2 linked regions of the Oryctolagus cuniculus genome follow. The protein of the gene in region 1 purifies or fractionates together with the protein of each later gene. This does not show direct contact. Links are inferred from orthologs where the notes say so. Each region holds a gene or a part of one and is shown in the gene's direction. Other genes may lie near its edges.

Region 1 (4,940 bases):
CAGCTCCCCCGGGGACACCCACCCATGTTAAGGTTGGCAGTGGCAGGCGAGAGCCTAATAACTTCTCAACTATCATAACCCTGATTCCCACTCTGGGGATCCTACTCCATTTCCCTCTCTCTCTCTCTTTCTTTCTTTTTAATTTATTTATTTGATAGGCAGAGTGAGCAAGACAGAAAGAGGGAGAGAGAGAGAGAGAGAGAGAGAGAGAGAGAGAGAGAGAGAGAGAAACATCTTCCATCTGGTTTATTCCCCAAATACTTGCAACAGCAAGCCTGGGCCAGAATAAAGCCAGAAGCCCGGAGCTCCATCTGGATCTCCCATGTGGGTGGCAGGGACTCAAGCACTTGGGCCTTCATGTGCTGCCTCCCAGGCAGTAGCTGGAAGTTGGATGGGAAGTGGAGTAGCCGGGACTCAAACTGGCACTCCGATATGGGATGCAGGTGTCCTGAGCTGTGGTTTAAAAACTGCGCCATAATACTCACCCCCCGAGACATTATTCTAACATGCCATCAACATATGAAATTATGAATGCGATATTTCCATTCTTCTTTTCATACTACGTCTTTGAACTCTGGTGTGTATTTTACATTTACAACACATCTCAGTTCAGACTGGCCACATTTCAAGTACTCAACAGCCCAAGTGGTTAATGGCAACTGGTCTGGATGACACAAGTAGAGACTAAGAATTCCACTCCTCCTCCACCTGGCCTTGTGGCAACCTGAGAAGGGTGAGGCAGCCATGTTTCTTTGCCAAAGCAGGCTGGTACACACTTTGTTTCCCAGGCTATTTGTCCTGGCCACTAAAATTCATGTCTGTATAATCTAATAAACTTACAACCTAATTGGGGACAAAATTGTATTTAAGTTAGAAAAAAGATGTCTCAAGACAAAATGTATTAAAGACTTTTTAAAAGCACTGGTTTGAGTCCCGACTGCTCCACTTTATATCCAGCTTCCTGTTAACGTGTTCGGGTAGGCAGCAGAGGAAGGCCCAAGTACCAGGGCCCCTGCCAGCCACATGGGAGACCTGGATGGAGTGCCTGGCTCCTGGCTTCAGCCTGGCCCAGACCTGGCTGTTGCAGCTATTTGGAGAATGATCCTGCAGATGGAAGATCACTCTTATTCTGTTTCTTGTCCTCTCTTGGTGTTCTGCCTTTCAGATAAATCTCTCTCTCTTTTTAAAAGTATGTGTTGGTGAAGTTGATATTTCCTCTTTGGAACTGCCATTTCTTCTGGGAAGAGGCAAGAATGTTTGTTCCCTTCTGCAGGTCCCTGTTACTGTTCTTGTGTCTTGATAAACACCATCCAGGAAGAGAGGATTTTTTTTCTGGCCTTTCTCTGGCCCAGGGCCAGGTTGGTGGAAAAATCCTTTGCCCTGGGTCGTCCCTGTCTGGTTCATTGGGCTGTCCTCTGACCACTGATAGGGTCAGCAACCTCCCCCAAAACACACACACACTGTCCTCCCAAGGCACATGCAAGGCAATTGGGAAGGGAAGGGGAAGGGCTGGTGGGCCATCATTTCCTGATTACTTATTTTGTTCAAGGCACTGTCAGGCACATTGTGTGAGCTGTCTTTTACTCCTTTGCACCTGCAATACAGAAAGAGGTGAGGAAGTTCACTAGGCAGCATGCAGCCGGTAACCCTGAGCTTTCTGACACCCGAGCCTGGGGTGACAGCATTCCAGACTTTTCCCAGTGTTTGCAGTCCTAAGTACAAGGGCTTCGGCAAGATCTTGTCACCTCTGCACCTGTTTTCACGTGATCTCGGCCCGCAGGGTGCTTAAGACATCCCAGACATAAAAAGGAGTCTGTCCCGCCTCAGGAAACCTAGGAAGGTTGCTTGATCTTTGCTTTGTCGTTTCTGGCAAGTGGCAAGACCTTCGGTGCCCTCCCGGGGAGCCTTGTGGCTTTAAGTTTAAGCCCTGGTTGGGTGGAGACTGGGAGGGCGGGGGCGGGAGCCCGCCTACCTGAGGAAACCTGCGTTAGGTGTGGCGCGAGCGCAGGGATGGAGGTGGGCAGGGGCGGGCTGAAAGTTGGAGCAAGCAGGAAGTGGAGCGAGGGCTGCCCGGGAGGAAGCAGCCTGGGTGAGCTCCGCCGCTGACGGGCCCCAGCGACTCGCAGACATGGTGAGCGATCCGGACGGGGGCTGCTTTCTAAAGGGGGCTGGGGACTGGGGCTTGGCCTTGCCGAGAGGGGAGGGTGCGTGGTGAAGTCAGAGGGCTGGGGCCGGCGCTGTCTGTGGCCTCTCTGACAACTTGGCCGCAAATACTTCTGAGCCGCCTGGGCGGTGTTCCTGTCCCTGCCCCACTACCTCCCTCCCCTGGCCTCCGTGCTGGCCCCGAGCAGGGCCGCGGTGGGGGTTGGGGGGGCGTCCGAATTCCAGGCAAAGAGTTGCTGCCACTTTCTGCCGCCCCCCGCCCCCGCCTCCCCTGGCAGGGACAAACTGGGTGTTGTGACACCGCTGGACAGCAAGCGCCTCTGCTGTTCCCGGCTCAGATTCCAGGCCAGCGGCGGCGGGAGTTCTCCCACCGGGCCTCCCGCTTTCTCCCTATGCAGAAACCCAAAGGATCCCTCTGTACCGCGTCTAAGGAAGCAGCCGGGGGCCTGTAAAAGACCCATAAGTTGGTTCTCTGCGATAATCCAGCTTCGCCCCACACCCTTGGCAAGGTTCTGCCCCCCCCCCCCCCCGAGGGCCAGGCTGGGAGGCCTGTTTTCCCTCCTTGATCAAAAACCTTATCATGAACCCTGCAGGATGAGGCAGGCAGCAGGCGGGCAGCACTTGTCCTCCATTTCCCCCAGCGCCCAGGTGCCTGTTTTCACTTAGTATCTGCACAGGCTCTGCTGAGAGGTGGGGAAAGCAGAAGTGTGTGCTCAGCGGATCATGGCGCCGTGTGAGGGACTTGTTGGCTCTGGGTCATAGCCATGGAACTAGGGTCAGGCTGTCCAGGAAGCCCCGGAGCCGAAGCAATCCTCCAGCAGCTGTCCGGGAGCCGGAGCAGGCTTGGGCCAGGTGGGGCGTCCTGCTGGCTGGCACTGACAGGTTTAATGAAGACTCAGGGGGGTCCAGGAAGCAAGGGAGGGCTCTAGGACTTGGTAAATCGCGGGGGGTCTGCGCTGGAGGGGGACATTGTGAGATGCCAGCTCTGCAGTGCCTGCGACCCCATGAGGAGGAGGAAGCAGCCGAGAGGGAGTTAGCCATGCTGCTTTCTTCCTTGCCAGGAGCCCTGGGAACCCGAAAGTTTGAGTGATGGTGTCCAGCATCAGATCTCACCTGCTGGGGCTTACAGATGCATTAAAGCAGGAAAAGATAGTTTGTAAACAATGCAAGCATTGTAAAGGCTGACGTCCACCTGAGGCCTTCCACTGCCCTGGCCTCTGTGGCTGGGTCTCCCTCTGGTCCTCTGTCACTTGGCCTAATTAGCCCCTGTGCTGTGCGCAGGAGGCGGCCAGCGGAGGCGGAGATGACCGAGTGCGGAACCTGCAGAGTGAGGTGGAGGGAGTCAAGAATATAATGACCCAGAATGTGGAGCGGATCCTGGCACGAGGAGAAAACCTGGACCAGCTGCGCAACAAGACAGAGGACCTGGAAGCCACTGTGAGACGGGAAGACCCTGGGACCAAGGGAGGGCATGGTGAACGGGAGGGGCGAGGCTCTGCTGTTTCTGTTGCCTTTGCATCTATTTCAGGAATTGGCATGAGCTGGGTCCCCATTTCCTATTCTGCTCTGCTCCATTGATTGGTATGGGACCAAGGAATGAGTCTGATGACTGGGGTTGGGGTGGGGTGACCCACAGAGACATTTTCTGAGGCACACAGGTGGCTCAGTCAGCCCGCTCATTTTACTGTGTAGTGGTAAAAGCTGCTGCCTACAGTGCCAGCATCCCATGTGGGCACTGGTTTGTGTCCCGTCTACTCTTAGCTCTCTGCTATGGCCTGGGAAAGCAGTAGAAGATGGCTCAAGTCTTTGGGTCCCTGCACCCACTTGGGAGACCCAGAAGAAGCTCCAGGCTCTTGGCTTCTGATGAGCCCAACTCCAGATGTTGCAGCAATTTGGGAAATGAACCAATGGATAGAAGACCTCTCTGTCTCTGTCTCTCTCTCTACCTCTGCTTCTCTGTGACTCTGCCTTTCAAATAAATCAATCAATCTTTTAAAAAAATACATTTACAGAGGCCGGCGCTGTGGCATAGCCGGTAAAGCTGCCACCTGTAGTCCTGGCATCCCATATGGGCGCTGATTTGAGTCCCGGCTGCTCCACTTCTGATCCAGCTCTCTGCTGTGGCAGAGCATAGAAGACTGGCCCAAATCCTGCACCCATGTGGGAGACCCAGAAGAAGCTCCTGGCTTCAGCCCAGCCCCGGCCATTGAGGCCACTTGGGGAGTGAACCAATGGATGGAAGACTTCTCTCTCTGCCTCTCTGTAACTCTGCCTTTCAAATAAATAATAAAATAAATCTTAAAAACAAACAAACAAAAAGATTTACAGAGAGAGGGAACCGTCCGCTGGTTCACTTCCCGAATAGCAACAGTCATGGCTTGGCCAGACTGAAACCAGAGCCTGGAACTCCATCCAGGTCTCCTATGTGGGTGCAAGGGCCCCAAAACTTGGGCCATTATCTGCTGCTTTCCCAGGCACATTAGCAAGGAGCTGTAGCAGAAGTGGAGCGTATGAGATGCCTGTGTTGCAGGCAGCAACTTAACCCACTGCACCACAATGCTGGCCCTAGCCCCTGCATTCTTAAATTTCTCTCCTATGAAACATTCTCCCTTTGAAGGCTGACCTTGACAATCATTTGGATCTGATCCTCCCCCCCGATCCCCAGAGAGCAAATATTGATTCTGGGAAAACCTCCCTGGGCCTCTGGCCTTCTCCAGGAGTTATGAGGCAGGCGGTGGAAAATTGCGAGAGTCTTGCTGAGTCAACTTTAAAAAGAT
Region 2 (4,418 bases), on another chromosome or scaffold:
GAAGCCATCCAATCACGACCTGTTGTCAGTCAGTTTCTGTTGTCAGTGGCCATCTTGGTATGACCTTTTCACCTTCTCATTCCACCACATATGTCAGTGGCCATCTTGACATGACCTTCTCACTTTCTCATTCCACCACAGAGGATGGCCCAAGTACTTAGGTCCCTCCCACCAATGTGGAGACCAGGATGGAGTTCTTGGCTCCTGGCTTCTGCCTGGCCCAAACCTGGGTATTGCAGCCATCTGAGGAGTGAACCAATGGATGGAAGATCTGTCACTCTACCTTTCAAACAAACAAACAAATAAATCTTAAAAGGGAAATGAGGCCGGTGCCGCGGCTCACTAGGCTAATCCTCCGCCTTGCGGCGCCGGCACCAGGTTCTAGTCCCAGTCGGGGCGCTGGATTCTGTCCCGGTTGCCCCTCTTCCAGGCCAGCTCTCTGCTGTGGCCAGGGAGTGCAGTGGAGGATGGCCCAAGTGCTTGGGCCCTGCACCCCATGGGAGACCTGGCTCCTGCCATTGGATCAGTGTGGTGCGCCGGCCACAGCACGCCAGCCGCGGCGGCCATTGGAGGGTGAACCAACGGCAAAGGAAGACCTTTCTCTCTGTCTCTCTCTCACTGTCCACTCTGCCTGTCAAAAAATAAAAATAAAAACAAACAAACAAAAAAAGGGAAATGAGTAAAAAAGGAGGACAAAATAAAAGAGATCTGTGGTGGGTAATTGATAATCCACATAATAAAAGGTCAAACCATAGGTTCTTGTAAGATATTTGAATTATGACAGGAATAATGTCAAGGTGAATAAAAAATTCCAAGAAACCCTTGATGTCTGTGTGTTTGGGAGAGACCTTGACTCATTAGGAATAGGTATGAACCCACACGTCTACGGATCATTTTACCTCTAATTCAGAGTTGCATTCCTCGGAGTTCTTGGGTATCTGCTTACTCACCTCTAAATTAGCACAGCTCATCTTCTAGGAATATTAAGAGGAAAAGCAGACAATTTGTATCTGAAGGAGTTATCTTTTCTTAACTTCCCTAAGCTAATCCCTTAGACATATTTGTGACATTAGTTTAGAACTTAATATGCTGAATTTTATCATAGATCTCTATCCATCACCCTACATGATGTTCTCGAGTTCCACGGAGGTCTGGGGGACTCTCTTATCAACTTCGCATCTCCAGCACATGGAGGCTGTTCTGTAATACTGTGGCCAAGAAGGATGGTTCATCCATATGTTGGGAAAATGCACAACAGTGGATTTCAAGGTGTTTTGGGCCTACTATAATAGGAAGCATGCCTTCAGTGAGTTCACATTGCTTTCCTTGTCTGGCAAATCCTAGCAAGACTTTAGAGTATACCCTTCAATGGAACCAGCCAGGAATCCCAACCCTCGTAATTCCACTTCATCTCAGCTTTGCCTATGGAAGCTGACACTCTGTTTCCTTGGAGCCTATTACCAGCTCTTTGCCTCTTGATATGAAGAGTGTGGCCCTCCAGGACTTCGTGTTGATATCAGAGGAGTTGTAACCCTGGAAATGAGTCTGGAGAGGCTTTGCTGGCAATGGCAGTATTGTAGATAGGTGTTGTCACAGCTTGAGCAGAGGACTCAGTGTATCTGTCTCCCTGTAGCCATGAGGAGTGGAACCAGATGCAGAGCCAAGAGGACGAGGCGGCCATCACCGAGCAGGACCTGGAGCTTATTAAAGAGAGGGAGACAGCAATTCGGCAGCTGGAGGTAAGAGCCAAGTTGTGTTTCCTGTTTGACCGTCTGCAGCTATCTGGATTTAGTACACTTGAATTTTTTCCCAGTTACTATGAAAAATATGAAATGAGGCGTGTATGAGTTTTGTATATTGTCTGTTTCAGTGTTAACAATGGTGAGTTTAAACCATTGTCAGGATATAGGCCTTGGTGCTCAGGAGTACCCGAATTGTTTCCTCAGTCACGTGGTCTCCTTGAGAAAGACACAAGAAGAACAGAGCAAGGGAAACAAATATTTTACTGCTCACTGGGACTGCACAAATCCACTTATGTGCATGTATTTTATGGTAGTAAATGATAAAATAGACAATATTGTAAAAAAAGAAGGCAATATGAACTGAACATGCTACCTGGGAAGCAGCAAGATCACCCAAGCCCAAACAGCCTAGAGGAGAAGCTGACATGCTGGTACGGACAAATTCTGCATGCACTAGCCCTAAATTGAGCCTAAACTGGGCCTTACGACAAAGCCTATGAGTGCCTCCCAGCAACAACAATTTTAAAGATTTATTTATGTATTTAAGGAGAGCAAGAGGGAGAGACAGAAAAAGATGTTCCATCTGCTGGTTTGCTCTCCAAATGGCTGCAATGGCTGAAGCTGGGCTCATTTGAAGGCAGAAGCCAAGAGCTTCTTCTGGGTCTCCCACTGGAGTACAGGGGCCCAAGCACTTTGGCCATCTTCTACTGCTTTTCCAGGCCATAGTAGAGAGCTGGATCATAAATGGAGCAGCCGGGACTCGAACCAGCGCCCATATGGGATGCTGGCACCGCAGATGGAAGCTTAGCCTACTAGGCCACAGCACTGGCCCCGACAATTAAATCTTATGACATACTTTTTTTTTTTTCTCTCTCTCTTTTTTTAAATATTTATTTATTTACTTACTTGAAAGAGTTATACAGCGAGAGGAGAGCCAGAGAGAGAGAGAGAGAGAGAGGTCTTTCATCTGATGGTTCACTCCCCAATTGGCCGCAGTGGCTGGAGCTGTGCCGATCTGAAGCCAGGAGCCAGGAGCTTCCTCCACGACTCCCACGTGGGTGCAGGGGCCCAAAGACTTGGGCCATCCTCTACTGCTTTCTCAGGCCGTAGCAGAGAGCTAGATCAGAAGTGGAGCAGCCGGGGCTGGAACCAGTGCCCATATGGAATGTTGGCACTGCAGGCAGCAGCTTTACCCACTACGCCACAGCACCGGCCCTTTTTTGCTCTTTAACTCAGTTTCTTTTCTGTTTATGTGGCTTCTCTTTTGCTTTAAGGCACTAAGGGGGGCTGGCATGTGGCATATCGGGTTACACCACCACCTAAGGTGTTGGCATGCCATATAGGCAGGTCCCAGCTACTCCACTTCGGATCTAGATCCCTGCTAATGCACCTGGGAAAGCAGTGAAAGATGGCCTGAGGGCTTAGGCTCCTACACCCATATGGGAGACCCAGAAGAAACTCCTAGCTCCTGGCTTCATCCTGGCTGAGCTCTGCCCATAGTGGCCATTTCGTGAGTGAATCAGTGGATGGGAGATCTCTCACTGTCTCTCTCTGTAACTCTATCTTTCAAATAAATAAATAAATCTTAAAAAAAAATTCAAGTTTGGGCCGGCGCCGCGGCTCACTAGGCTAATCCTCCGCCTAGCGGCGCCGGCACACCGGGTTCTAGTCCCGGTCGGGGCGCCGGATTCTGTCCCGGTTGCCCCTCTTCCAGGCCAGCCCTCTGCTGTGGCCAGGGAGTGCAGTGGAGGATGGCCCAGGTGCTTGGGCCCTGCACCCCATGGGAGACCAGGAAAAGCACCTGGCTCCTGGCTCCTGCCATCGGATCAGCGCGGTGCGCCGGCCGTAGCGCGCCGGCCGCGGCGGCCATTGGAGGGTGAACCAACGGCAAAGGAAGACCTTTCTCTCTGTCTCTCTCTCTCACTGTCCACTCTGCCTGTCAAAAAAAAAAAAAAAAAAAAAAAAAAAATTCAAGTTTGGCTATATATATAGCAAATAACTTCTTTAAAAAAGGCACTCACATGCTACCTCTTTCACAAGGTCTTCTGCACACCCTTCTATACACTATTTGTTAGCCATTTCCTATGTAATCCCTTTCTTATTTATCTGTACTTATTGCATACACACTCCCATGCCACTTAGCCATACGTATCCACAGCAACTTGCAGACTGCCCCAACTATAAAAGAATCTTAGCACAGGTTTGAGATGCTAGTTATGATTCCAGTCACCCTTTGTTTTTTGTTTTTGACAGATAGAGTTAGACACAGAGAGAGAGACAGAAAGAAAGGTTTTGGTCTTCCTTCTGCTGGTTCACCCCCTAAATGGCTGCCACGTCCGGAGCTACGCCGATCCGAAGCCAGGAGCCAGGTGCTTCCTCCTGATCTCCCATGCGGGTGCAGGGCTCAAGCACCTGGGCCATCCTCCACTGCCTTCCTGGGCCACAGCAGAGAGCTGGTCTGGTTACCCTTTGAACCTAGGAGTTCTTCTGATGGACATCAGTATGTGCTACTCAAATGCACATCTCAAAATTCTGTAGTGCCATGCCCTATCTGGGCAAACCCCCCCCCCCTTTTTTTTTTTGGTTAAGATTTATTTTTATGTTTGAAAGGCAGAGATACAGAGAGAAGGAAAGAGAGAGAGCAAATTATCTTCCATCCACTGGTTCACTGCCCAA

What was found. The genes of interacting proteins can lie anywhere in the genome.
Region 2: the proteins of VAMP8 (region 1) and STX12 purify together in Homo sapiens (affinity purification with mass spectrometry; 3 studies listed by BioGRID and IntAct, counting the BioPlex papers as one, with this or other methods). This does not show direct contact. The link is inferred for Oryctolagus cuniculus from reciprocal best matches to the Homo sapiens genes VAMP8 and STX12.

Annotation. Positions count from the first base shown.
Region 1 is NC_091433.1:117,071,003-117,075,942, reverse strand, and holds the start of VAMP8 (vesicle-associated membrane protein 8), read left to right. Parts: upstream 1-1,693; 5' UTR 1,694-2,128; coding exon 2,129-2,131; intron 2,132-3,444; coding exon 3,445-3,600; intron 3,601-4,940. UniProt on the Homo sapiens protein: SNAREs, soluble N-ethylmaleimide-sensitive factor-attachment protein receptors, are essential proteins for fusion of cellular membranes.
Region 2 is NC_091438.1:143,815,102-143,819,519, reverse strand, and holds part of STX12 (syntaxin-12), read left to right. Parts: intron 1-1,633; coding exon 1,634-1,739; intron 1,740-4,418. UniProt on the Homo sapiens protein: SNARE promoting fusion of transport vesicles with target membranes. Together with SNARE STX6, promotes movement of vesicles from endosomes to the cell membrane, and may therefore function in the endocytic recycling pathway.